Sus scrofa: one gene and its partners. The protein of the gene in region 5 purifies or fractionates together with the protein of the main gene of each other region. This does not show direct contact. Links are inferred from orthologs where the notes say so. Each region holds a gene or a part of one and is shown on either strand. Other genes may lie near its edges.

What was found.
Region 1: the proteins of CANX (region 5) and EDEM1 purify together in Homo sapiens (affinity purification with western blotting; 6 studies listed by BioGRID and IntAct, with this or other methods). This does not show direct contact. The link is inferred for Sus scrofa from reciprocal best matches to the Homo sapiens genes CANX and EDEM1.
Region 2: the proteins of CANX (region 5) and TGFBR1 purify together in Homo sapiens (affinity purification with mass spectrometry; 3 studies listed by BioGRID and IntAct, with this or other methods). This does not show direct contact. The link is inferred for Sus scrofa from reciprocal best matches to the Homo sapiens genes CANX and TGFBR1.
Region 3: the proteins of CANX (region 5) and TECR purify together in Homo sapiens (affinity purification with mass spectrometry; 3 studies listed by BioGRID and IntAct, with this or other methods). This does not show direct contact. The link is inferred for Sus scrofa from reciprocal best matches to the Homo sapiens genes CANX and TECR.
Region 4: the proteins of CANX (region 5) and BSG purify together in Homo sapiens (affinity purification with mass spectrometry; 3 studies listed by BioGRID and IntAct, with this or other methods). This does not show direct contact. The link is inferred for Sus scrofa from reciprocal best matches to the Homo sapiens genes CANX and BSG.
Region 6: the proteins of CANX (region 5) and TAP1 purify together in Homo sapiens (affinity purification with mass spectrometry; 3 studies listed by BioGRID and IntAct, with this or other methods). This does not show direct contact. The link is inferred for Sus scrofa from reciprocal best matches to the Homo sapiens genes CANX and TAP1.
Region 7: the proteins of CANX (region 5) and WWOX purify together in Homo sapiens (affinity purification with mass spectrometry; 3 studies listed by BioGRID and IntAct, with this or other methods). This does not show direct contact. The link is inferred for Sus scrofa from reciprocal best matches to the Homo sapiens genes CANX and WWOX.

What each region holds. Positions count from the first base shown.
Region 1 is NC_010455.5:61,709,628-61,713,700, reverse strand, and holds part of EDEM1 (ER degradation-enhancing alpha-mannosidase-like protein 1), read right to left. Parts: intron 3,311-4,073; coding exon 3,238-3,310; intron 315-3,237; coding exon 211-314; intron 1-210. UniProt on the Homo sapiens protein: Extracts misfolded glycoproteins, but not glycoproteins undergoing productive folding, from the calnexin cycle.
Region 2 is NC_010443.5:240,887,443-240,891,515, reverse strand, and holds part of TGFBR1 (TGF-beta receptor type-1), read right to left. Parts: intron 2,111-4,073; coding exon 1,865-2,110; intron 1-1,864. UniProt on the Homo sapiens protein: Transmembrane serine/threonine kinase forming with the TGF-beta type II serine/threonine kinase receptor, TGFBR2, the non-promiscuous receptor for the TGF-beta cytokines TGFB1, TGFB2 and TGFB3.
Region 3 is NC_010444.4:64,723,116-64,726,194, reverse strand, and holds the end of TECR (very-long-chain enoyl-CoA reductase), read left to right. Parts: intron 1-126; coding exon 127-541; intron 542-636; coding exon 637-740; intron 741-818; coding exon 819-934; intron 935-1,018; coding exon 1,019-1,124; intron 1,125-1,230; coding exon 1,231-1,303; intron 1,304-1,396; coding exon 1,397-1,440; intron 1,441-1,518; coding exon 1,519-1,576; intron 1,577-1,664; coding exon 1,665-1,753; intron 1,754-2,109; coding exon 2,110-2,155; intron 2,156-2,240; coding exon 2,241-2,368; 3' UTR 2,369-2,497; downstream 2,498-3,079. Other genes in the region: NDUFB7 (NADH dehydrogenase [ubiquinone] 1 beta subcomplex subunit 7), read right to left, coding at 2,628-2,760. UniProt on the Homo sapiens protein: Involved in both the production of very long-chain fatty acids for sphingolipid synthesis and the degradation of the sphingosine moiety in sphingolipids through the sphingosine 1-phosphate metabolic pathway.
Region 4 is NC_010444.4:77,737,613-77,740,460, forward strand, and holds part of BSG (basigin precursor), read right to left. Parts: intron 892-2,848; coding exon 735-891; intron 269-734; coding exon 186-268; intron 40-185; coding exon 1-39.
Region 5 is NC_010444.4:78,888,145-78,892,217, forward strand, and holds part of CANX (calnexin), read right to left. Parts: coding exon 4,046-4,073; intron 1,871-4,045; coding exon 1,757-1,870; intron 1,181-1,756; coding exon 1,024-1,180; intron 1-1,023. UniProt on the Homo sapiens protein: Calcium-binding protein that interacts with newly synthesized monoglucosylated glycoproteins in the endoplasmic reticulum. It may act in assisting protein assembly and/or in the retention within the ER of unassembled protein subunits.
Region 6 is NC_010449.5:25,068,702-25,073,377, forward strand, and holds the start of TAP1 (antigen peptide transporter 1), read right to left. Parts: upstream 3,289-4,676; 5' UTR 3,068-3,288; coding exon 2,482-3,067; intron 2,017-2,481; coding exon of another isoform or gene 1,990-2,016; coding exon 1,902-1,989; intron 1,768-1,901; coding exon 1,637-1,767; intron 102-1,636; coding exon 1-101. Other genes in the region: PSMB9 (proteasome subunit beta type-9), read left to right, coding at 3,682-3,741. UniProt on the Homo sapiens protein: ABC transporter associated with antigen processing. In complex with TAP2 mediates unidirectional translocation of peptide antigens from cytosol to endoplasmic reticulum (ER) for loading onto MHC class I (MHCI) molecules.
Region 7 is NC_010448.4:9,868,035-9,872,650, forward strand, and holds the start of WWOX (WW domain-containing oxidoreductase), read right to left. Parts: upstream 3,015-4,616; 5' UTR 2,657-3,014; coding exon 2,550-2,656; intron 1-2,549. UniProt on the Homo sapiens protein: Putative oxidoreductase. Acts as a tumor suppressor and plays a role in apoptosis. Required for normal bone development. May function synergistically with p53/TP53 to control genotoxic stress-induced cell death.

The DNA of each region.
Region 1 (4,073 bases), on a different chromosome or scaffold from region 5:
CAAGGGCCCAGCACATTAGAGGGAGGGAGGGAGGAAGAAAGACACATGAGGAGCGAGTAGACCCAAATGCTCAGCAGTGGTCTATCATAGGTGGTAGGCTATCACAGGCTTGGACCCTCGACCTGGACCTCGTGGCTGGTGGACCCTCACAGGAATTTTCTCCTTACACACATAAAAGAAGGCTTCAATCCGTTTTAGGTACTCTTTTACCTTATTGTGGCTTCAAAGACTTGGACGGTGGAATCTTTGTCAAATGAAACTGTGTTGATCACTAACTTGACTGCTTTCTGGAACTCGGATGAATTTCCCATTATCTTTAAAAAGAGGAACACAAACCATTACCACAGCCTGAAGTGAAACTGAGGCTACATGATGGCAGGGAGGTAGGCCACTTCATCTGAGTGTCTCTAATGTGTGGTTTTACCATTTGTGGGAACAGAAACACAAAAGGCAGAAAAGCACAGTTATCTCTTAAAATATGTTCTGGGACAGACATCAAGTCCATTTCCAACAACTCAAGAGTCCTAACTCCAAATGGCGAAACTGGGAAAATAATTCTTCATAAGATCATTAGCACTCCTCATTGATCCCACTCCACTCTCCCTCAACTTCAACCTGATCTTATTTAGCATGCAAGGCATTATAGTTCCTGAAATTACTGAAATGAGTAAAAATAAGCCCCCAAACTGAACAAACAAAAAACATAACTTTGCTGCTCCTCAAGTAACTGGACAGCTTCGGCGCTTGGCTCCCAGGAGACCAAAACATCTGGGAAACCGACTTGTGACTTGTTACCCAGATATCTGAACAATTTGAGAAACAGTGGTGTTATCTTTTAGAGCATAACAGCATAAAACTAATGACATTCAGGACAATCAAAACATAGACATAATCAACTCTACGTCCTTTGTAAAAAGTGATCTAGAATTATGATTTCTATTTTGGGTGCGTGGATAAGGTATTCTAAGCTTCTCTCTCCTATATGAAGTGCAAATTGGGTGTAAAATTTGATACTTAACACTGAACTGAAATGCTTTCATGCTATTCAAAATTTCATGACAATTCTGGGACTGTAATGACATCATAAGGACACACATGAAAACTAGAAAAAACAATTCCATTCAGACACTACTTCTTTCAGGTATGTCTTATTTCCTAGTATTTATTGGTCTTGTGCATTTTTTTTTTCTTTTCACCCCCCTCATTGTTATTTTGCTGTAACATGCAGAAAAAGTACAGACATTTCTTTTCTGGCTTTCAGATCTTTCTTTTTAAAGGATTATGCAATCACGCTGCAAGTTGCATCAAATGGTCAAGGGATTGCTATCGTCCAAATGTTTCCAAAACACACCCATTAAAGTTTGTTTAAAATGTTAGCAAAAGAAAAGGGAAACCTCAACAGAAGTGACACCTGAAAAATAAGCCTGAAGTATACTTTAAAGACCGGATATTCTGCAATGAAAACCACAGAGATGGGGTTGTTTCCTTACAGATGTTCACCAGCAGCAATATCTGTTAGCAGCTGCAGGTGCTAATATGGTCTAAATCACGTGGGGGGTGGTGAAAGAAGCCAACAACTTTCAATTACGTGTTGTAATTTACCATTTTAGACAGGAACAGAAGAGAGTAACGAGGCTATGAAATCATTCACTTAAGAAAAGCTGGATTGGACAGAAGAGTTAAATGGGTTTCTCTACTGTAGAATTTCTCAGAGCCTTTAAAATGATGGTGTATACTGTGGCTCTCCAATAAGATCACAGACTTGGAAAATTTCTCCAGTTCATTTGGAACAGAATTCTTCTTTCAGGGAATTTACCCTTGGAATCTGTGTTGGGAAATTCAGATTAGTAGAAATTCATTTTCCTGACATATAATTGCACTCCTACTAAGTATCAGACACCATTAGGTGTGGAGAGAGAGCAGTGATTAACAGAGACAAGGTCTCTGTATTTAATGAGCATGGCAGGGGGATAAACAGACACAATACAGCAAAAAGACAGAGCTCAGGGAGAAAAGACCAGCTTTCATAAGCTATCTATGAGTCCTGGGACTTTGTTTAAAGCAACACTTGCAGGCTGAGTCAGCCTCTGCCACCTTCAACAAGTGTAATTAGGGTGAACATACATGTCTGGGCACATTCTGATCAGTGATGGTGGATAACTCAAAAATGGAGCAGCAATAACTTCAGCAGGAGATATTGGGAAACTTTAACTGCCTTGCAACTGGCAGGATGAAACCCCGGATTTCCTATTTGACCAGCCTAGGAGGATGTAGACAGACCTCTCAAGTTCCAGCAGTTCTACTACTAACAAGATCCTGCTCATTCATAGTGCAAGCTTGAAATAGCATCACCCAATTCTAATTCTGGACAGCTTTAAATTCTTTTTAAGGAAAGAAAATGGAGGATTGACATTGATGAGAGTAAAAATTTTCTACTGGTAAAGCCTGGCTGGGCAATGAAGGGGAGCAGAGGTAGTAAAATCTTATTTACTCAGAAAACTTTTAAACGCTATGTGGAACTGAGTCCCCTTGCTGGATTCTAGAGCAAAAAGTCAGGAAGCAGAGCAAGCACACATGGCAGTCTGGTAACAGGTACCCTCCACAGGGCTTTACTGCTTTCAGTGCGCTTCTAAAAATCTGTTCCAAGGTCTCTGGAGGCCTTGAGGGAACCAAGAGATGAGGAGGTAAAGGTGGTCCCTGAGTTGGCAGCCCAAGGCTGGAAGGGGGGTGTCCACAAAACACGGAAAGCAAATAAAAGGAGGCTGTTAACAGAGAGGGTCTCTGTGCAGAGGTGGGGGGCCAGGGCTCAGATTCGCTCTCGCTCTTGGGATGCCAGGACCCAGCTGACGTTTCAGGGGATCTTGTCCTGTGAAGGCCTTAAGATCCTGATGACTTATCTTGTACTTCTCAAATCTTAACTAGAGTAACTGTACACTGGTTCCTTTAAGGAATGAAATAGTGGGAAGCTGGGAGAAAAACAGCTTCTCCCAAAACAAAAATACTTTCTTCTCCCTTTTTTTAGGGAAATCACACTTCCCCTCTTTTAACCTCCGACGCTTTTTTTTGCTCCCAGCATTAAGCTCATTAAAATAAACAAAAGCTATCAGAGCTATGAATACATTTTGAGTATTAAGCTTCCTGGAACTCTCATTCCTGGAGGAAAATTAATGTTAATTAACTCAAAAATACCTTATCTTAATTAATGTTTAAAAATAATAACAAAGCTGAACACTTAACTGCAAGTGTATCCAATGCATCAACAAGAGTCAATGAATAATTCCCAAGGACATCATTGATGTTCAAATTTGAACTGAAAAACAAGGAAAATTCAAATTAAACAAAGGCACTTTACTTTAAAAGAGAAAAAAGATAATAAAACTAAACAACCATCAGAAACTAAAATTGTTGGAACCTCTTGTTTATTCAGGGATTATTGTGGATGGATTAGTATGGTGATGGTGGTTCTACCTCACAAGTGATGGTTTCTGTAGTGTCACAGGATAGCAGACACATGCACACTTATACTATGGTGGAAAGAACACGGAAACAGGAAGCCAGGGGACGGGAACAAGAGTCACTGCCCTCTCTGAGATTCTGTTTTATCACCACAAATGATCTCTCCGTCCAGCTTCAAAAAGCTCTGATTTCGAAATCGTTAGGAATGAAAAAGGAGAGCCTTGTCACATGACCTGCAAATAAAACTTCAGAAACCAGACACTCCAGCAGATTACACACAAAAAGAAGCAAATAAATACCTCAGTTACAGTCTCAATATCACTCATCTGTCCTGTGGGTGGGGGTAATAAATTATTTGCTTTATTCCCTTTCTTTTTTTTCACTAACATCTCACCCCAAGGATCCCCTCCTGCTCCATCAAAACTAAAGAGCTGTTTTTTAACATGAACCAAGGCAGGACTTCTCTTTATCGGAGCTGCATTAATGCTTCTGCCACACACCTCCTGCCCCACAACCAACACCAATTTCCGACTCCAAAACAATCTTAAGACACCAACCTCAGGACTACAATAAGGATAAATGAGGATAAATAAATAAATGACACTAAAAATGACAAA
Region 2 (4,073 bases), on a different chromosome or scaffold from region 5:
ACATTAGAATTGCAGATGCTTACATAGAAGACAGAAAAATTACAGTCTGACAGAGATTTACCACAGGGAGCTTCCCTACCATGCAATGTTTGGTTTTACTTTGCTGTTATCACTTGAATTAGCTGGAGGACTGCCTTCCTTCCACAACTGGCAGGTCTGGCCCTTTTCCCCTGAGCTACAACAGTGCTTCCTATTTTCTTCCTTTTTATGGCTGCACCCACAGCATATGGAAGTTTCCAGGTTAAGGAATGATTCTGAGCTGCAGCTGTGGCAACATCAGATCCTTTAACCCACTGCACTTGAGCCAGGGATTGAATCTGTGCCTCCACAGCAACCTAAGCCACTGCAGTCAAATTCCTAATCCACTGTTTCACAACAGGCACTCCTGTGCTTCCTACTATAATTAGCATGGGCCTAGACCAGCTGAGTGGAAAGTGAGCCATGTGTTCTGCACCTCAGTACTGAAAGCAGGTGCTTCTTAAAGGAGAAGTAAGAGTTCGTACTTGCAGCCTAACCTCGCACCCAGCTCATCAGCTTAAGGTACTATGGGATTCTGCAAGAGATTCTTTCACTTGTCTGTTATTATCTGCTCTATAAACTACAGAGTTCTTCACAAGTATAGGCATGTGGGTGGCATGTCTTCCATTAATTCTACTATCATTAATACAGGTTTCCCTTGTTTTTTATTCCTTTATATATTATTATAATAGGTATTTGGGATTTGAGGAAAATGACATAAGAGTTAAATACATGAGCTCAGACTGACACCCTAAACCAGAGCCTTAAAATGAATCTAATCCTAAGAGTTTATTAAGTTTTAAAATGTAAACCATGGGGGAATTCCCGTCATGGTGCAGGGAAAACAAATCCAACTAGGAACCATGAGGTTGAGGGTTCGATCCCTGGCCTCGCTCAGTGGGTTAAGGATCTGGCATTGCCGCGAGCTGTGGTGTAGGTTGCAGGCATGGCTCGGATCTGACGTTGCTGTGGCCCTGGCGTAGGCTGGCAGCAACAGCTCCAATTGGACCCCTAGCCTGGGAACCTCCATATGCCGTGGGTGCAGCCCTAAAAAGACAAAAAAAAAATAATAATAATAATAACAATAATAAAAAAAAGTAAAATGTAAACTATGGTGAATGATGAAAAACCTAGAAATCATATAATAATTTATACATAAAGATCATAAGGCAAGTTGAAGTTACAAAATGAGATATCTGGACTGTTTAGTGCTGCTCTCAATTCCTGCCCATTACTGACTGCTTTAAAAGTCTGAAGCACTAGGAGTTCCTGTTGTGGCTCAGCAGGTTAAGAATCTGACTAGTATCCATTAGGATGTGGATTCTATCCCTGGCCTCGCTCGTGGGTGGAGAATCTGTCATTGCCTCAAGCTGTGGTGTAGGTGGCAGATGTGGCTCTGAACTGCCACTGCTGCAGCTCCAATTTGGCCCCTAGCCTGGAAACTCCCATATGCCTCGGGTGTGGCCCTAAAACCCCACCCAACCCCACCAAAAAAAAAGTCTGGAGTATTATAAAAGTAAAAAAATTCACTCTAAGAACAAAGTAGAGACACTGTGAGGACATACTGCTGTGATGGCTTTATCAGGATTTGCTAAAAGAGGTTACTCTTTTAGGCATAACAGACCTCAGAGAAAGTCGATCGTGGAACTACCTTCTCAAACAACACACACCCAGGAGTCAAGATCTTGGCTACCCTTATAACTACAACAATGGACAAGTTAGATCTTGCCTCTAAACTGAATAAGCTGGGGTAGACAATTTCTAAGATCCCTTCCATCTCTAAAATCAGTGGCAGCCTCTAAGAACTTTTCTTGTAGTATCAAGAAAAAAATCTTAAACAACTTACCAACAGTTGGGAGTTCTATTTTATTGCAATGGTCCTGATTGCAGCAATATGTTGTAGTAACAGACCCAGTTTTTGAAGAAGGTGCACATACAAATGGCCTGTCTCGCGGAATTAGGTCAATTTCAGCTATACACATGCTATTGTGTATAACTTTGTCTGTGGTCTCTGTGACGGAGACAAAGCAGAGCCCATCTGTGACACAAGTAAAATTGTCTTTTGTGCAAAGGTGGCAGAAACACTGTAATGCTGGAAAAAGAGAAAAAGACCCTATCAGAAAAAAATTCTCAAGGTTAACAATCTGAAATTATCCCATAATCTCTAAATCAATACACTCCTGATTCTATTACAATCATACAATCTCTGCACTGTTCAAAAAAAAAAATTCGTGGATGGACCTAGAGATTATCATATTAAATGAAGTAAGTCAGACAAAAACAAGTATCATATGACATCACTTATACATGGAATTTAATTTTTAAAATGATACAAATGAACTTACGTACCAAACAGAAACAGACTTACAGACTTTGAAAACAAACGTATGGTTATCAAAGGGGAAATGGCAGGGGGATAAATTAGGAGTTTGGGATTAACATGTACACACTACTACATATCAGGTAGATAACCAACAAGGACCTACTGTGGATCACATGGAACCCTACTCAATATTCTAGAATAACTTAAATGGGAAAAGAAGCTGAAAGAGAATGGATGCATGTACATATATAATTGAATCACTGTGCTGTATACCTGAAACTAACACAACATTGTAATCAACTATGCTCCAATAAAATTAAAACAAAACAAAACTGTTACTCTAAGAAGTTCCAAATTCTGTTAAGAAGCATACATATGTAGGAGCCAAATATGATGAAATCTGGACCCAGGTTCTTTCCTAAAACTTTTTAAGTTCCAAGTATATAAACATTATTACATGTAATTTCATTAACATTAAGATAAGCATTTGCTAACCCATTTGAAAAAAGGTACATTGAAATTTTTAAAGGTTATACTTATTCCTTTAAGTCCAAAACCAGACATTCATATACACCCCCCACTGGAGAGCAATATGTGAAAATACTACTACCGCCTCAGTGTAGGTTGGAAATGTCAAGGGTGGATTTATAGTAATGGAGTAAAAGAAATAGATTTGTCAGACATTCTTGTGTAAACCCTAAAAAAAGACCAGTATGTTCTAATTAGAATTAGGTTACTTTCTCATAAGCAAGGTAACAATACATATATGCTCCAACCACACTAGCAACTGGCTACAGAAATGACTGGAGAAACACTAGCTCTATACCCACTTTTATCTATATGATCTTTATAGTTCAACTTGAGGAGTAACCAATGAAGGGAAGTCTTCTAATTATCACCAACACTTTCCCAAACACACACTCACACACACACACACACGTACACCTCTACTAAACTCTCCAACAAGGTTAATGCTCTCCAAAGCATACACTCCTTACCCAGAGTTATTATTTTTTCCTCTCCTTATGAAACTCTAAGATCCTTGAGGGCAGAGACCCATAATAATCATTTCTATAAACTCACATCTACCACTAGGACTGGTACATTCAAATAACGCTGGATGAATGACAGAATTGGCCACTTAGATTTCACTATGATCTCATGAAACTGTGAAGCAGAGATCAAACTTTCCAATTACATGTTGGCAAAGGAAACAGAAGAGTCCAGGTTTGCAGAATGGCCATCTGTGATGAGACCAAGGAGGTCTACCATAACCAGAAAAAGAGTAACTAGACAGGCCAGAAGACGACTAACTCTGAACAGCTAACTTGCAGTGAAGGAAAGGGTTAACTCAGCAGGCCCAAGTTGCTCAAACCCTGCACATTCCAAAGACATACCTAACTTCAGGACTGATCCTTGGCCAGTTCCTGGGAGATGAGCTCTGACTCCTTGAAATATTCTCCTTGATAAGAATGCTACAAAGCCTGTGTGCTGAGCCACCAATAAAAACCCTGCACAACAAGGCTCCAGTAAGCTTCCCTGGTTGTCAGCACTTCTCACATGCTACACTTCATTGCTAAGCTATGGAGTGCAGCTGTGCTACTGCACTGGGGGAGGACATCTGGAAGCTTGAACTTGGTTTCTCTTCAACTTTGCCCCATATGCTTTCCCTTTTCCTTTTGATGATTTTAATATGTATCTTTCTCTGGTAATAAATAAAAACCATGAGTAT
Region 3 (3,079 bases), about 14 Mb from region 5:
CTTGGTCCCACCCACCTGTCCAGTAGCAGCTGCCTGGTACCCCAGTTCATCCCACCTCATCAGGAGGGATCCTGGGTCCTGGGCTCTGCCCAGGGCTGATGCCTCTGCGGACTGTGCTTCTCCCAGGTGGAGCCCCAAGCCACCATTGCCGAGATCAAGAACCTTTTCACCAAGAGTCGTAAGTCTGGGGCCTGGATGCACTGCCCCTTGCGACCCCTCTGGGCAAGGACCTTTAGGTGGGACCTCATTTTGCAGAGATTCCCCCTGTGTGGCCCAGGCTTCTGTGGGCTTGCCTGGAGCAGGCGCCCCCACGTGGCCATTGGTAGGAACGCCCTTGCTGGGCTGTCGGAAGGACAACATCCGGCTTTGCTTGCTCTTCCGGTCTGTGTCCTGGAGCTGCACGGGCTTTTGCGGGGCGGGGCGTGGGGGGAGAGGAGTTGCTGTAGGGAACTTGGGTCCCACCAAGCTGTGCACTGTGACATCTCATTCCCCACAGATCCGCAGTGGTACCCTGCCCGCCAGTCCCTCCGCCTGGACCCCAGTGAGTACAGCTGTCTGCCTGGCTCCCCCTGGGCTTTTGGGTGGCAGTGGGTGGAGGCCCAGGCAGCCCCTGAGCCCTGGCCCACCTCTTGACAGAGGGCAAGTCCCTGAAGGATGAGGACGTTCTGCAGAAGCTGCCTGTGGGCACCACGGCCACACTCTACTTCCGGGACCTGGGGGCCCAGATCAGCTGGGTAACGGTGAGTGCAGATGCCCCTCTCCCAGTAGCCTTGACTCTCATCTGCCACATTGTGGTGACTCACTTTGCCCCTCCCCAGGTCTTCCTGACAGAGTACGCGGGTCCCCTTTTCATCTATTTGCTCTTCTACTTCCGGGTGCCCTTCATTTATGGCCACAAATATGACTTCACGTCCAGTCGGCATACGGTGGTGCAGTGAGTAGGGCCAGGTGGGAGCTGGTGGCAGAGGGAGGGGAAGGCCTGCCGGACCTGCCCCTGCTAAACTGACTTCCCCGACAGCCTCGCCTGCATCTGCCACTCATTCCACTACATCAAGCGCCTGTTGGAGACGCTCTTCGTGCATCGCTTCTCCCATGGCACTATGCCCTTGCGCAACATCTTCAAGGTCAGCCCCCAGCTGCCCATCCCAGGCCCCTCACCCTTGGCCCGCCCTCCCTGGTCTTCCTCACCTCCACTGGGGCAGGCTCCATCCCGGCCCCGCTCCCTTTCAGAACTGCACCTACTACTGGGGCTTTGCTGCATGGATGGCCTATTACATCAACCACCCTCTCTACACACCCCCAAGTAAGTGGCCTTGGACCCTGTTCCCCCTGTGAACAGCCCCCTCCCTGACCCAGGCTCTCCCCTGACAGGCCTTCCTTTCTGCTTCCTCTTCAGCCTATGGAGCTCAGCAGGTTAAATTGGCACTCGCCATCTTTGTGGTAAGCAGTCTGGGGTGGATGATGGGGTTGGGGGAGTCTGTGGGGGTGCCCTCCGAGCTGACCCTGCTTCTTTGACAGATCTGCCAGCTTGGCAACTTCTCCATCCACATGGCCCTGCGGGACCTGCGGCCAGCAGGTGAGTGGCCTCCTCCAGGCAGGGGGGCTGGCTTCCTGGGCAGGCTGGGCTGGACTAGGGTGTTCTCACTTCTGTCCTGTCCTTCCAGGGTCCAAGACCAGGAAGATCCCATACCCCACCAAGAACCCCTTCACATGGCTTTTCCTGCTGGTGTCCTGCCCCAACTACACATACGAGGTGAGGGTCTGCCTGGCTCCCCTCCCCTGTCCCTCCTGGGGTTCGGGATCCTGTGTGGAGGGCTAGTCTTTAGGAGGGGGGTTGCCTAGCTTCGTAGCTGCTTTCATAGTTTGAACTTAAAGTACCTGGAGAAGGAGATGGCCTCTTGGGGGCCGGGGGGGCAGCTTCACCATGTAGTCCCCCCTTCACCTCCTTTACTCCAGGCCCTTCGAGCCCTGGAGTTTGGTTCCCACCCCCTTACTAGAATAGAAAGTAAGGGTTGGTGGGGAGGTGGCTGGGAGGGTGGGCGGGGTCTTGACAGAACAGCTGGGGCTGTGCAGCCCTGCCCACCCTCGCCCTGCCTGCCCCGTCCACAGGTGGGGTCCTGGATTGGCTTTGCCATCATGACACAGTGTCTCCCAGGTGAGCCTGCTGCCCCTTCCCCAGGTGGGGCCTGTCTGCCCTGGTTGTGTGCAGCCCTCCCTGACTCCACTGCTCTGCCCTACAGTGGCCCTCTTCTCCCTGGTGGGCTTCACCCAGATGACCATCTGGGCCAAGGGCAAGCACCGCAGCTACCTGAAGGAGTTCCGAGACTACCCGCCCCTACGCATGCCCATCATCCCCTTCCTGCTCTGAGCGGCTCCCCCCACTCAGGCTCAGGCAAGCTGGGCTCTGTCCCCCTGCCCCGCCCCAGTGTCATCCTGGGGGAGGGGTGGGAACTGTTGCTCTCTAGTGCCTGGAATAAAACCTGCCTGCCCAGCTGGACTCAGACTCAGGGTGTTTCTTTTGGGGGTTGGTTTAGGGACCAGCACACGACAGAAAGAGGCAGAGTTTGGGCCAAGGGGCCTGGAGGCTTTTATTTCTTGACTGGTCCACAGGGTGGTAGGTGGGCCCACTACAGGGCCATTTCGGGAGCCACCTCACCGGGCCCCTGGCCTCTGGCCATTTCTGCTTCCCTCTGCTCCCGCCGCTTCTTCCGCTGGAGCAGCCGCCGCTCCCGCTCAAACTCCTTCATGCGCTTCACGTAGCTGTGGGCAGAGCAGAGAAGTGGTGTCAGGTCCCCCTCCCCCAGCCAGGACACAGCCGTCCCATAGTCTGAGAAACTGATGGGACAGGAGCACGTGGCCTGTGGCACTTGGGGGGCCTGAATAGGAAAGACCTGTGTCTGTGGATTGTCTGGGGACCACCCCCACCCCCTCAGGTGGACACCAGTGAACCCAGAGCAGGGGCTGGGCCTCCCACCTCAAAGGTCCAAGGCAGCCTCAAAGCCACTATCCCACCCAACAGCCCCTTTGGGGTCCTCTTTCTATTGAGGTGGAAATTTGGAGGGATGGGGTGTGGGGCTCA
Region 4 (2,848 bases), about 1.2 Mb from region 5:
CGTGCTCTGACTTCTTCACAGCCTTGACATTAGGTGGCCCTGCAGGGAGAGCAGGCAGGAGCCTAACCAGGTGGAGGACAGAGGTGGAAACACCCTGCCCCCATCTGGATTAGGATTTGCGCATGCGTCCCTCCCGCACCCCACCTCCCCTCCAACACTGCCCTGCAGAGCCCAGGGGAGCCCACCCTTCACTTCCAGGTCTGTGCGGCCCGCGTGCTCTGGCAGGAAGATGCAGGAGTACTGGCCTGAGCGGTCGTCTGAGTCCACCCTGTAGCAGACATGGTATGAGAGAAGCAGCCTGTTGAAACCTCCACCGGACAGGCAGCCCCAGAGAACAGGGACCAGGGGTGTGCGGGGCAGCAGGCAGGATCACTCCACATCAGGGAGCCTGGCCCCACCACCCTCCAAGCTCATAGCAGTGTTCTAGGCTTCTGGAGCCACTCCTCGTCCCAAACTGGGTGTCACATTGGTCCCTGGAGTGCCCAGACCCCATCTCACAGGAAGGAGGGATGGGTTTGAGAGGTGATGAAGTCTTGCAGCCAGCTGCCCCTTGCTGGGTCCCAGACCTCAGCCCAAGCCTGTTTCTAATGTGTGCAAAGCCAGGCCACAACTACAACCTCCAGCCTGGCCAAGGCCTGGCGGCCAGGAGAGGTCAGAGCAGGCAGGGCCAGCAGCCCTGACCCCGCCCCATGATCAGGCCCCAGCCCCTTCCCTGCTGGGAGGGCCTCACTCACTCAAACTCTGTCCTCAGGTCAGGCAGCGCATCCTCCTTTAGCACCTTGCCCCCCTTCTCCCAGCGGTGGCCCGCGATCTCAGTGGCGCTGTGATTCAGGGCACAGGTGAGGCGTGTTTTGGAGCCAACATCATCTATCGAGGTCCAGATCCTGCTCCCTGGGCAGCCAAAGATAAGGTGAAAAGGGAAGAACCCAGGCCACTGGCTGCTTGTCCCCATGGCAAACCCGAGTGGTCCCAACCCCGACCGCACAGAGGGAGAAGCCAGGGCTGGTTCACAGAGCTGAGCACTGTGGGGCCCCTGGAAGGACCTCCCCTCGGGGTCAGAGGCAGGATTCTGGGAGGAATGGTCTCAACTGGCTGGGCCTAGGTGTGGGAACAGAAGCAGCGCCCACCCTGGTCTGGGTACAAGGACCAAGACAGTGACTGCAGGGTCCAGCGCCAGCAGACCCCAAATGCCCCTTTGGAAAGTCAGTCTACTGCTGCCCAGGTCACCATCCCCTCTGGGTGGCGTTGCATCTCCCCTCCCCTGATCAAGGCAGGCCGTCTGAGGTGGGTCAGGTGTGCTGTTTCCTCCTGCCTGTGAGGCTGGGGTGACCCCCAGAGCCTTGGAACAGCCGGCAGCCCTTCCACTGGTTTCTAAGCAGGTAAACCACCCCGTCCTCGAAAATGTTTTCTTTAGGAACCAAAACATAGAAAACACTTAGAACTAGACAGTAAGAGACATGGCTATGAGAGCTGAGAGACTGGGCTTGAGCTGGGAGGATTCCTCTGCAGGGAGGGCCCTGGGGCATGAGACCCCAGACCTCCATGTGTTTGGGATCAGGAGAGCAGATCAGAACAAGAACCCTTTTGCCGGGCAGGGCTGCAACCCCCATCAGTGGAGTAGCCACACTACAGCCCTGTCCCAGAGCAGACAACACTGTCCCTGGGGACGGTGGGGACTTTATAAAGGTGGGTCTGAGGCACAGCAGTGTTAGCGCAATTGTTAGCCTACCCAGAAGTGACCCTCTGGAAAGGCCACCCACCCTCACATATCTCAGAGGCATCCCCTGGAGAAGGTCATGGACACAGGACACGGGCTGAGAGCCAGCCCAGGAAGAAGCCTGTGGTGTAAAGTCAGGTGAAAGAGCAGAATACAAGCCTGTACTTGAACAACCCAGCCAAGTAAGAAGGCACTGAGGGGAAAGCAGCTACAGGGACACAGACGACAGGCCGGCAGCCAGGCAGCAGCTCTTAACACCCACTGGGCAAGCCACCCTCCCTAGGTCCTTGCTTCCTCCCTGGGGTTACATGGTGACTTCTGACAGTGTAACTATGCGAGCACAGAAAAAACACACGAAACTGGGTGGAATGATCAGAGGTCGTGACCCCCACTTGGACAGTCACCTTAGCCACCTGGCAGTCAGATCAGCGAACCTCAGTCCCGAGGAAAGATATCCCCACAGCAAGAGAAGAGGGTACCTGGCTGCAGAGGATACCAGGTTCACACTCACACATGAGCAGGGCTGGCCTGGGCTCCCTCCGTCCACAGGGACGCCTTAGCTGCTAGGAAAATGAAAGCCCGGATCCCAAGCCAGACTTTCCCATCAAGCCACTTTCTGGAACGGCTGCAGACAGAGTGCACTGTGTCCTCTTCAGGCATCTGAGATCCGGGCCTGGAGGACATGGGTCCTGCCCAGGCCTGCCTGTTAGGTTCTTGCTGGGCTGACCATGCTCCACTCTGTCCCACTATGGACTGGCCACAGGAGGGCCCTGGCTCCCCAGGTGCATTTCCAGCCTGCGGGACGCTGGCCTCTTGGTGTAGAGGTGGGACCCAAGGCCAGCCCATGGACAGGATGTGTGCATGGCCAGGCCTCAGTGCCCCACCTCTGGCTACCCACTGGGTCTTTCTTTAAGAGAAGACAGGATGTCTCAGAGGCCCAGGTCAGCAGGGACGGAAGCAAAAAACTAGATGGCAGTGCCAGGGGGAGAGCAAGGAGGCCCCTAGCGGTCCACACCTGTAGCTACTTGTGTATACACACATACACACACTCACAGGCACGTGTGCTCAGAGTTCCCAGGCTGTGTGGGTGAGCACAGCTACTGGCCACAAGGTCCTGGGGACAAGCCGACC
Region 5 (4,073 bases):
CGCCAGATCCAAGCCGTACCTACAACCTATACCACAGCCACAGCAACGCCGGATCCATAACCCACTGAGTGAGGCCAGGGATCGAACCTGCAACCTCATGTTTCCTGGTCAGATTCGTTTCTGCTGTGCCACAAAAGGGAACTCCCAAAAGCCTCTACTCTTATCAACTGCTGGCAGGAGTCAGTACAGACTTCTTCAGGGATGATTTAAAAGGTACACCATCTTCAACCAGATTATTTCACTTCAGCTAACTTCCTAAAGAAATAGTTACCACATACATTCAGAAGAAAAATCACTTAAGTAAGTAAGGACTAAAAGCAAAAATGGCAATTCACCAAAATGGCCATAGACAAAGCAGCTAAAAGGCAATTTTTAATTTCTCATTAATGGCTCAATTAAAAACACATTTAAAAACAGAAAAATATACAGTTTATACAGAGAGATGCAGACCTATACCGCACATTTGAAAATGTAACAAAGTAGAAATTAATGATTTTAAATAACCTGACTAGAAACAGAAGTGAGACCAGGGTCTGAGTGGTTATGTCTATAGTAAACTCGAAGCTTTATAATATCACCACCTTTATTCTTATCATCTCATTTGAGCCTCACAGTCTTTTTACAGTGGAAAATACTGAGGTCAAGTAATAAGCTGACTTGTGGTCAGGAAGCCAACTCCCATCACAGTCCTCTACCCACCCCATCACAAGACATTGCCAATTTGAATTCTGTGGCTACCGCACCCCTGCCACACAGGAGCAGGGTAACCAAATCACAAGTTTCCCATTTTTTGTTTCTTTTTGTTTCTAAACATAAAAAGCAATTAGGAATGCTCTTCCTTCCAGCTTCCAGGTTTATCTTTTTAATAATTAACACATTAAGTTCCCTCTCAGTTTTGAAGTTTACTTTGTTTTTAATACAACAGTTTGAATATAGTGATCAAACTGGCAGCCTCACTACAGACAAAGCTTGTATCTGAACACAGAGATCAATGAAGCAACTCAACCATTAAGAGGTACAAACCTGGTAGTTAGGATTGTCAATCATGGGAGGTTTCCATTTGCCCTTATAATTAGGGTTGTCAATCATAGGTCGCTGCCAGACACCACACCCAGGGGCCGACTCACACTTGGGGTTGGCAATCTGAGGAGCCTCCCACTCTCCATCCATATCTTCATCCCTGTGGAGATATAAACAAACTCCAAGTGAATTCTATGATGCAGGACTATGAAAAGCTGTCCCAGGGCTTCCCTGAAATCCTGCATGATAATTTCTAAGTGTTGTACTACAGAGCATCATCTTGTTTTCACATTTCCAGCAACAAGGGTATTTCATGAGAGGTGCATTAAAAAAAGAGAGATGAAAACGTAATTAGTTTGTTGAGCTCTACATTTTGAGCACTTGGGTGTATTTAGGTACTAACTTTTACTTCAAAAAAAAAAAAGTAGGTAAGTTTAAAAGTTAACTAAAGCTCGGAGTTCCCAAAGTGGCTCAGTGGTTAACGAATCTGACTAGCATCCATGAGGACGAAGGTTCAGATCCCGGCTCAGTGGGTTAAGGATCTGGTGTTGCCGTGAGCTGTGGCATAGGTCACTGACGTGGGTCAGGTGCTGAGTTGCTGTGGCCACACAGCTCCAATTAGACCCCTAACCTGGGAACTTCCACATGCTGCAGGTGCAATGGAAGGAAGGAAGGAAGGAAGGAAGAAAGGAAGGAAGGAAGGAAGGAAGGAAGAAAAGTTAACTAAAGCTCATACCAATCCTCTGGCTTCTCTGCATCTGGATCAGGTACATATTCAGGCTCATCATCTAACCAGCCTATAGGCTTAGTGGCTTCTTCATCTGGAATCTTAGCAGGGGCATCTTCATCCCTTAAACACAAAAGAAAAGGTCAACTGACAACACTGGCCAGTAAATCACAATGTGGTCCCACTTTGTGAATCTTAGGGCAATCTAAAAATATCTTGGGAGTTCCCCATGTGGCACAATGGTATCATCAGCATCTCTGCAGTGCCAGGAGGCAAGTTTGATCCCCGGCCTGGTACAGTAGGTTAAGGACACGAGTATGCCACAGCTGTGGTGTAGGTCACAACTATGGCTTGGGATCCCTGGCCCAGGAACTCCGTATGCCTTGGGGCGGCCAAAAAAAAGAAAAATGTTGGCAATGTGGAGAAAATGAAACTCTCATACACCACTTGTGGGAAAGCACAGTGGTGCCACTTTGGAAAACAATTTGGCAGTTCCTCAAAAAGTAAAACATAGTTACCATATGACCCAACAATTCCACTTCTAGGAATAACGACCAAGAGAAATTAAAATGGACATTCACCCAAAAATCTATACATGAATGTTCGTAGCGTTATTCATTAACCACATACAAAAAAGGGAAACCTACATACTGATTAAATAAAGAATCGATAAATAAAATGTGGTATTATCCATACAATGGAGTACTACTCAGTCATAAAAGGGATTGATACATGCTTCAATATGGATGAGTCTTGAAAACATTATGCTAAGTGCAAGAAACTGCCCACAAAAGACCACGTATTTTATTATTCTATATCCAGAATGGGCAAATCCATAGAGAGAGAAAGCAGATTAGTGGTTTTCAGGGATTAGTGGAAGGCAGAGATAGGGAGTAACTGATTAATGGGTATGGGCTTCTTTTTTAAATTCTTGGTCAGGATTATGCTTGTTTTTGAACTATGCTTGTCTTAAAATTACCTGTATGAAAACTTAAACTTGTATATCATTCAGTGGCCTTTTAAACTGAACATTCACCCCTTACTCCCAAGATAAAATAGCTAGTTAAGGAACACAATACTGAATAATAAGGCTGAATCCAAACCTGGTATTCACCAAATATACAAATAAACTCACCCTTTATAGCCATGCACTATCAACTAGAATTTAACTGCTAAGCCTAAGAGGATACTTTTACAAATGGAAGATCAGTCTTACTATTATTCTGTGTTTACTTTCTGACATTGCCAAGAGTCACTGCACTGTGTTCAAACATGGCAATACATAAGAGTATAAGCTGCTTGTTTTCTCACCAGGCTCCAATGTGTTCCCTACATAAAAGGCTACATATACTCAATTTCCCTCATATATATGTTCAGCTCACTCCTGTTCCTCTACTTTTCTACTTTTGCACATATTCTTTAACCAGGGATTACCATTTCACATCTGCAGCAGTTAGTTAATTCTTGCCCCACTTGCAAGTTTCAGTTTGATTTGCCCTGCTCCAAGAAACTGCTAGAGTTAGGTATACCTGGTGCCCTGGTAATCAAGTAATACCTATTAGACCACTTACCACAAACACGTCAACTTCACTTGCCTGTCTTACAACTCCACTCGGAGTTGCATAGGCAGTTGGTGTCCTTGTGGCTTTGTATTCCACCGCCCAACAGAGAGCAGTAATCTCCTGAGTATTGTTTCAATAGGAAAGAGGTAATTCTTCAAATTAAAATTTAAGATTTTATGGAGTTCCCACTGCAATGTAACAGGATCAGCGTCTTAGGAGCATTGGGACACAGGTTTGATTCCCAGCCTGGCATAGAGGGTTAGGAATCCTGGCATTGCCGCAGCTATGGAGTGGGCCACAGATGTGGCTCATATCTGATCCCTGGCCTGGGGAACTCCATATGCTGCAGGATGGCCAAAAATAAATAAATAAAATAAAATTTATAATTTTAGGACTCCAGCTTTAAATACGAATTCATAGAAGCATTAGAAAGGCTGGTCCAAGAGACTTGAGGTTCTGCCACAAACCAAAATGTTACACAGGCAAACTATATCATTGGTTTTAGCATTTGGTGGCTTGTAAAATGGTGTGAGGCAAGGCAGGTGATCATGATGGCCCTAGTGATCACTAGGGTAGTCACTACTATTTTCAGCTACAGTAGTCTCTATGTTTCCTAACATTAGGCTGCATCACGGATTATTGAAATTATCAGATCTCAACCAATATTTGCTTATTCAAGTCACATGAAACATATGAAATGCTCCAATGCACTCAAAGACAGGTCCCAAAGACTCACCAGTCATCTGGTTTGACAGCATCAGGAT
Region 6 (4,676 bases), on a different chromosome or scaffold from region 5:
ACACAGTCCCCGTGCGAGGTACCACAGCAAGAGGCTCAGCTCCGAACTCAGAGACACACTCACAGTGGATGTGTCCTCTGTTACCCGAGATGTGATGGCACCTGCCAAGGGTTCAAGAGAAGAGAGTGGAGTGAACAGGAGGCTCAGAGTGATGGGAGCGACGAGCAATGAGCCAGGTGCCACAGCGAAGGGCATCAACACAGTGTTCTAAGAAGGTCAGGAAAAGGAGTTCCCGTCGCGGCGCAGTGGTTAACGAATCCGACTAGGAACCATGAGGTTGCGGGTTCGATCCCTGCCCTTGCTCAGTGGGTTAACGATCCGGCGTTGCTGTGAGCTGTGATGTAGGTTGCAGACTTGGCTCGGATCCGCGTTGCTGTGGCTCTGGCGTAGGCCGGTGGCTACAGCTCCAATTCGACCCCTAGCCTGGGAACCTCCATATGCCGCGGGAGCGGCCCAAGAAATAGCGGGGAAAAAAAAAAAAAAAAAGACAAAGAAGGTCAGGAAAACAAGGTCTGTGGTTGGGGGAGGACTGAAACATAATGCAAGAAAAATGTGTTAGAGTGGAAAAGCCTGGCCAAAGACCTTCGTTTTAACTATAAAGAAATTGATGCCCAGAGTTCCCACTGTGGCTCAGCGGTTAAGGACCTGACGCCGTCTCTGTGAGGTTGCAGGCTGGAACCCTGGCTTCGCTCAGTGGGTTAAGGACCAGCTGTTGCCACAAGCTGTGGCGTAGGTCACAGATGCTGGATCAGGTGTTGCCATGACTGGCACAGGCCTCACCTGTAGCTCTGATTCAACCCCTGGCCCAGGAACTTCCATATGCCACAGGTGCAGTCATAAAAGAAAAAAAAATTTTTAAAGAAATGGATGCCCATGTGAACTTCTGTTTCTCTGACAGGTGTCTGTTCCTTAAAGAACTTGTATATACCATGCTCATAGGTAGGAAGAACTTAAGCTGGTCATACAAGAGCTGGAGAAAAATGGAGAGACTACTAGAGAGCAGTCCAGGAAACCACAGCAAGCACTGGATTGGGAATCAAGACATGGGTTCTGCTCTCAAGTTTGTCTTCATCCATGTGCATCCATGCAAATGTTGGCATTTAGGTCTAGACCTCATTTCACTTCTCTGTAAAATGAGTCAGCTAGACTCTCTAATCTCAAAATTTCCAGGTTTGAAATTCTACCTAAATACACTTATAGGGATAGTTTATGGAAAAATCTTGGGTGGAAACAGTAGGTTAATCATTTTTTTTTTTGTTTTATTGTGTTTTTGGTTTTGTCTTTTTTTTTTTTTTTTTTTTTTTTTTTTTTGCCCTTCCCACAGCATGCAGAATTTCCCTGGCCAGATGGAACCTCGCCATAGAAGCAAACTGAGTCACAGCAGCGATCTGAGCCACAGCAGCCACAGAACTACAGCAGTGGCAACACCAGATCCTTAACCCGCTGAGCCACCGGCGAACTCCAACAGTAGGCTTTTCTAAAGGTAAAGAGCATATCTTGCTCTTGAAGTACATCAAGAATAAAAAGGGACACCATTTGTGTGTGTGTGAGAGAAAGATCAAGATTATAAGTAAAAGATGAAGTGTGGGGATACAAATAGAAAACAGACGGATAATGAAAGAGGTTCATAAGACACCTGTTTGATTCTTCTGAAAAAACTCTGTTTCTTGGCGCAGGACAGACCGAAACACCTCTCCCTGCAGGTGGCTGTGCACGCGGCCCATGGTGCTGTTATAGATCCCGTCGCACACGAACTCCAGCACCGAGCTAGAGGGAGACAAAGAAGGAGGGCCGGTCGGTCAGGGACCCCGTAGAAGTGCACTTTGGAGGGCGGCCCCAACTTCCAACTGCGCCCTTTTCAGGGTCCCCCGTCCCCAGCCTTCCAAGCTCAGCAGTCAGACCTGGCTATGATGAGGATGGACATGAGAGTTAGGTTCTGCGTGAAGGCAGCACCTGCCCCATCTCGTAGAATCCAGTCAGTGAGCCGGCCTGTGAAGAACGGAATGGCCATCTCCCCTGGGGAGGGAGAGGAGAGATGGGCGGGTCAGAAAGAGCAAGTCTAAGCAGCCTAAGCAGCTCAGCTCTAACCAGGCTGCACCTCCCGCCCATCCTCCCTTCACCCTTGCCCATTATCCTGCAGAAACAGCGCACACTCTCGGCACTGGAATGGGCCCCCGGGGAACTCGTAATCCTGTGGCCTCACCAGACCTTTAGAGGGTTAATTAAGAAGCCTAGGATGGTAGGAGGAAAGAGCTCGCCCAAGGTGGCCAGTGAAGCAACACCTGAGCAGCACTGGAGTCCAGGACTCCTGACTCCCACCCAGTCCAGGGCTCTTTCCTCTCCACCAAGTGGACCTGAGCGGGGTGGGCTTGCTCTTATCCACATTTCCGAGAACTCACACCTGTCTATCTCACTGACCGTTAGGCTTGATTCCTACCCAGCCCTCTAGCCTCCCTCTCCCTCCCCCCGCATCCCCCTTACCAAGGCTGGAGAGGACCACCAGGGTCAGAAGGAGCCAGAGGTGGCGGATCTCTGAGCCCAGGCAGCCGAGAAGCCGGCTCACTGTCACTCCAGAGCCTCTGTGACTTCCTTGCACCCAAAGGCTGCTAAGCTTATGCCACAGGGCGGCCGCGGGCAATGCCGCCGCATAGCTGAGGGCGAAGGCATCGAGGCGACTCCCCCAGTGCAGTAGCCGCGTGCTGTCAGCCGCTCCCGAGCCCAACTCTCGGAACAAGGCAAGTCCCGGCAGAGCCAAGCCCAGAGCCGCCGCCAGCGGCTCCAAAGCTGCCAGCCATCCCCGAAGTCCTGTGCTTTTCTCCCGGAAGCCAACCGTCGCCCTGAGGACGCTGCGGGCCCCCAACCACAGCACAGCCCAACGGCTCAGGCCCACCACCCAGACCCGGAGCAGCGGCAGCGCTGGGGGCAGCAGCAGGGAGGATATCCGGGGCAGCGCCGGCCGGAGCAGCACCCAGTCGGCGAGAAGCAGCAGCGCTGCCCCCAGCCAAGGGAGGGAAGCTCGGGAGACGCAGAGACACCCGCAGGGAGCGGAGGACCCCGAGCTGGCCATTGGCCGTACGAGGTCGACCCCCGGCCTGGGGCTCTCGCTATCCCTGCTGGGCTGGATTCTCTGGATGCTGTCGGAGTGGGTGCCCGAGCAGGCCCGGACCCGCAGCGGGGAGGGTCCAGGGGCGGGCCGGGGCGGGGATCTCGGAAAGTCCCGGGAACCGACCTGGACCGCCTCAGCGAGCTGGAAGCAAGCGGTTTATGGGAAAGGGAAAACGAAAGCGGCCGCCGGCTCACTAGACCCGCCCACTTCCCCAAGGCGGCCAGCCCGGACTATTTTGGAGGAGGGCGTTGGCATCAGATCTGAGGTTTGGGGGAGGAGCCCTGGCGCTCCACCTTCACTATCACCAACGCCAGACCCTCCTTCTTTCCTTGCCTCCTCTTGCGGGATCCAATGGTCTGGACTTTTTCACCCCAGCCCTTTGGTAGGGATCTTACGTCATCTGTCTCCGGGCAGACCTGCACCACACAGGTTGGCGCAGGGGTGCGAAGCCGCAAGGAGCGGACCCGGGCGCCCCCTGGCGGGCGTGGTGAAGGGGCGGGGCTGTAAGGCAGCTCACCCCGTGCTGTCCCAGGTCGGAAACCAGTGCCCAAGGCAGCGAGGAGCGTGGCACCGGGATGCTGCGGGCTGGAGGACCTACTGGGGACTTACCCCGGGCCGGAGAAGTCCACACTGGGGTAATGAGTCTGGGCTTGAGGGCCAGCAGAGGGGTGGAGCGACAAGGGGACCCTGGAAGCGCCAAGGAGTAAATTTGAAGACTAACAAGCGTGAGGAGATAGCTTGTAGCAGCCAGCTGCTTGCACCCTGAAATGAATACAGGCGTCTCTGTTCTGGAGGGGGTCGTCTAGGGGTCCGCGAAGGGACTGGGCACGCGAGGCTGGTAGAAAGGGGATGCATTGGCCCTTAGGTGGAAGCGTTAAGGGGAAGCTGTTCCAAAGCGCTTTCGCTTTCACTCTGGACTGGAGGGGGGGGATGGTTAAATCAAGGGAGGGGGTTGGAGAGGATGCACAGAGATGAGGAAATTGTGCCCTGGGTGAAGTAGGACAGCGCTTGAGAGATGGGAGTATGGGTACTAATGGAGAAGGGACACAACCGTTTGATAAGCCAGCCCTTGGGTAACTCATAGTCTGATCATGGGGGTTCTATGTGAGCTGGTAGTGCCCTTCTCCAGCTGGGCCCAGGAAGGCTCCTGCTTGGCCCAGGCGCTGCCATGCTCCCTTTCCAAGGTCTTGCACACACCTGCCGGGGGACTTTTGCCCAGGTTGGGCCCCCGGGGGGCAGATGGCAGCCCAAGACTGGCTGGCTTCTGCTCTCAAACTACTGCCACCACTCAGCGTCAGAGCAGCTTTGTTGTAAAGCAACACCCTCTAGGATGGGGTTGCCCCTGTTCCCTGGTGGGCTATTCATGACCAATCAGTAGGTCAAAATGAACACTCAGGCTAATATCCCTGGGGGCCAAGGTAACTTATGGAGTGGTGAGAAGGAGAGCCATAAAACCATTTATAAATCAGATAATCTCCCCTCACAGCCAGATGAGCAGTGGAGAGTAAGAAGTCAGAACAAAGCATGAGAACTAGACCTGGGTTTTAGTTGTGTGCTTTGGACGAGTCAC
Region 7 (4,616 bases), on a different chromosome or scaffold from region 5:
TTCAGACCATATATGCACCACTGATCCCCAGAAGCTGTGGGAGAGCTGGCTGGGGTGTGCAGGTCTTATTTACTGGAAGCAGGGACACCATTCAGAAAGCAAGCAGATGGGCAAGGCCACCCAACATAAGGTGAGACAAAGGAGAAAAGATGGGGTGAGCACAGGGAAAAGAGCCCCCAGATCTAACTTGAGGCTCCAGGCGCCTCGAAAGGAAGCCAGGGAGCTCCCTGGTGGCCAAGCAGTTAAGGATCCAGTGTTGTCACTGCCGTGGCACAGGTTTGATCCCTGGCCCGGGAACTTCTGCATGCCACAGGTGCAGCCAAAAAAAAAAAAAAGAAGAAGAAGGAAGCCACGGAGCAGAGGAGCCCCCAAAAACTGGAGCTGGGAAGCAGGCTGTGTGCCTCTCTGCACTCCTGGGGCCTAAGGCCACCTGGCCAGGGAGGCCCGCAGGAAACCCTCGCCAGATGAACTCATGCACTCACTCTTCCCCATGGACTTGTTCCATGGCTCCTGCAAGCGAAGCGTGGGGCATAGGGAGGGGAACGAGAAAAGGTCTCTGCCCTCGTGAACTTGACAACTTGGGGACGGCCAGAGAGCAAACGGGGCCAAGGAGAGCACAGAAAACCACATACAAGGGATCGCAAGGTGCCAGGAAGAGGGCACAGACCCCCGTGCCTGTGGATGCTCTCAGGGGGGAGCAACATTTTAGCTCAGCTTCCGGGGCTGAACATGCCCTTCAGGCAAAGGCTGAGGGAACAGCTACCTCCTGTTCTGGAGCTGCCTGCAGCCCCCACATTCCAAGAATGTCCATTCTAGAGCAGAAGTCCTCCTTCTAAGGACGTAAACCCAGAGTTCCCGTCACGGCTCAGCAGAAAGGGATCTGACTTGTATCTGTGAGGACGCAGGTTCAATCCCTGGCCTTGCTGAGTGGGTTAAGGATCCAGCGTTGCTGTGAGCTGTGGTGTAGATCGCTGAGGCAGTTCAGATCTGGCACAGCAGCTACAGCTTCTATTCGACCCTTACCCTGGGAACTTCCATACATCGCGAAAGCAGCCCTGAAAAGGAAAAAAAAAAAAAGTTTTAAAAAATGAAGACGCAAACCCGAGGTCACCCCCTGGCTCCAAGTCTTCAGTGGACCCTCGAGCCCTGACAATGGAGCCTGGCTCCTTCATAAATAACCTGGGTCCTTCCTGCCTCATTCCTCAAGGTCTTGCAGCAACACAGGCCAGGCCCAGGACCCTGTCTCCCTGGGCTGCCCTCCTGTTCTTGGACTTGACCTCAGCTGCCAACCCCCCCCCCGCCACCCCCCCGCCCAGGCACCTCCTCACCTCCCCCAGCCCTAGAAAGACAGGAGGGCACTCAGGAAAGCGACAATGGGTCTTATTTCTCTCCATATAACCAGAGCCCAGCAAAGAGCCTGGGGCAGGATATGTTCCCAGTGTATCCTGATAAACTCATCAAGGGTTTTTTTTTTTTTTTTTTTTTTTGGTACCAAACCACCACAGGCAGGAGTGGCCCACAACCTAGGGCAGATCAGAAGCACCTGAGAAAATTTCCAACCTACCAATTAGGGTGGGGGAGGGGCGAGGAAATTACATGAGGATCTCTGGAGGTGGGAGACAGAAGAAGAGTATTTAAGTTTTCCAAGTGATGAGCTATACTTCAAAAAAAGAAAAGAAAAAAAGTTTTCCAGGTGTTGAAAATCACTGGTTTACACCTGTGTTCCTCAAAGCAAGGGTAACCTGCCTCACCTGGAAAGCTTCAAAGATAAAGATCCCCTATGTTGGGCATTCTGCTGCATGAGGGTCTCCGTGGCGACCCCAAAGCTCTATTTAAGATAGACCCCAGCTGATTCTAATATCGGGCCTAGAAGGTTCCGTCACAGCTGCAGAGAGCGGGAAAGAGGAGCAGTTATCCAGCACTGAGTATTTTCAGACCCATGCTAAGCGCTTTATGTACAGAAACTCACCTAAAACTCTATCAGCATATTTTGCAGATTTGAAAACCATGCCTGAGAGCTCTTCCCAAGACTCAAGGTCACATAGCCAGTGATAGGAAAACGGTGCTTCCAAAACTTTCCTGAGAACTATAATAAATCAGCTATGTGTTTTCTATATGTGCATACACGTGTACACACACATACACACATAGGATACTAAGATATTTGCTGAAAATACACACTCCTAGTCCCCACCCCAGACCCCCCAAGGAAGGAGCTAGACATGAGCATTTTTGTAAGGGGAAGGGGATGAGGCCGGTCTGCCATCCTTGCACCGTGCAGGCTGCCTACTGGGCAGCACCGCGCGAGCAGGGACGCCAAGTAACCCTCTGCTGCACCAAGAGTCAGAGGGGGCCGGCCGGTCCTCAGGACTCCAACAGCCCTCTATGTGAAACTCTTCAACCAACACTGCCACTTCGCCCGCCCAGGCCAAGCCGAAGTACGAGCCCGTGGCCCTCCCGGCGGAGGTGGCGTTCGAGGGTAGCGCGGCGTCCCGGGCAGGTGAGTAGTCAGGGTTCCAGGTGCGCCCCAGGCCCGGCGGCCCCCTTACTTGGCATAGTAAACCCAGCCGTCCTTGGTGGTTCTCTGCTCCCAGCCCGGCGGCAGCTCGTCCTCGCTGTCCGTGTCGTCCAGGCCCGCGTAGCGCAGAGCTGCCATGGCTGCAGAGGAGGCGCCGGGTCACCCGCTCGCTCAACAGCCCACTGCCGGGTCTCTGCGCCCAGGAACTCACTCCTGCTACAACCGAGCGCCGCGCGCCGCGGGTCCCGAACGCTCGCGCCTGCGCACTGCGCCTCCCGGTGCCCCTCAGCCGACACGGCAGCTGTAATCCACGCTCCGCAGTTTCGCAGCTGCTGGAGAGAAAGGGGGCGGGGCCCAGGAAGCTTGTGGGGAAAGCACGGACGAGCTCGCACGGCCGCTCGGCTGCAAGTAAAAAGCGGTAAACCCTCCGTGGCGCTGGAGATGGAGCCGAGCCTCGAGACCTCCTCTCCGCAGGCAAGGGGCGTGGGCATCCAGTCAAGGTCCAGGACTCCGCCCGTTGCTGGGCGACCCGTAGTCATTTCCGCGTTGTTCTAGCCAATCCTGCACGGGCGCCAGCAATTGGGCATCCTGGGAAATGTAGTCCAGACCTGGTCGGCATAGACAGTGGCGTCTAAAACAAGCAGGCAGAAGCTGCCTCTCTGGCTTCTAGCCTCTCCTTTTAGGACTTTACCAAACGCGAATGAACCCGCTCAAGAACGTTCCAGAACTTCCTATGACCCAGGCTGACTCGCAGACTTTGTTGCAACACTGCAAAACATGGGAAACATCAGAAACATAAATCCTGGCACCTTCTGCTGCCCTAACTTGGATACTTTTCTTCCAACCCCAGCACGGTTCCATTGATTTCTCCTGACTCGGTTTCAGGAAAAAGCAAGCCTCCAGCAGAGAAATTACAAATTTGAAAGGAGGGAAAGTGGGGAAAAGGCAGTGTTGCTTTTTCTCTTCTTCATGCCTTGAGACTGATAGTGCTTTGGGATTCCTGCTCTGCGTGTTTTTTAGGGGAGAAACTTGTTTTCCTTGGAAATCTACCCAACCAAAAGCTAACTTAACAAAAGCGTGTTTTAGTTTTAACGAACCCACTATCCCATCATAGATCTATCATAACATCACTCTGCAAATCCATGTATGTTTAAGTAAGCTACTATTAACTTGCCGATCTTCTGCTCACCCCAGTTTAACCCCTTGCCCCTGTCACCTAAGGCAAATGATTCCTTTGATATGAATAGGCAATTAGGTCACAAAGTCCCCTAATGGGGAGGGGGATGAACGCAGTCAAATGGCTCAGCCTCTGTTTCTCCAATCGTTGTCTGCAGCCTCTGCTCAGCTTCTCAAGAAACTAGTGCTTAGATTTATTTTGGTTCCCTGGCCAGGGCCTCTACTGGCACCTATTGCCTGTGACATGACATTATTCCACAGACAGTGCTAGAGCACAGCGTCTTCCCCCAACCTGGGTTGTGCCCAGGCAGGATTCTCAACTTCTTCAACCCTCTGCTCTTCCTACCACTTCAACAGTTCCGCCCAGGCTTCTCCTGCCACGGGCACTAGGGTTCCTCAATCTCAACACTACGGACATTTGGGGCCACATAATTCTTTCTGGGAGAAGGGGGGCTGTTCTGTAAGATGTTTAACCTCTAGCCTCTGCCCACTGGATCCAGTATCATCCCCTCCCCCACAGCTATAACAACCAGAAATGCTCCAGGCCTTGTCAATTGTGCCTCTAGTTGAGAACCACTAAGCCACCCTTAATCAGGAAATTACTAACAAGTGAATCAAATGCTGAGCTTTACCGAGGCATTGAAGAGCCAATTTCTGGCCAGAGATTCATGACGTGGTACTCAGATGCTGCTGGTTCTGAGCGTTGAGTTGTCTGGCATTATCTGAGGGCACCTGCCTTTCCATTTCCTAGGCCATCTTCAGGTGAAAGATGTGGGCTGACAAGGCTGTCTGGTGGCCCAGACACCAGTAATGGTCCCAAATTGTTACAATGACTCATTTTATTCCTCTCTTCCTACCTCTTATCTGTGGCCTTTATCAGAAGGTCAAATAAAGACATTCAGACATTTGGGGAATTGCGTAA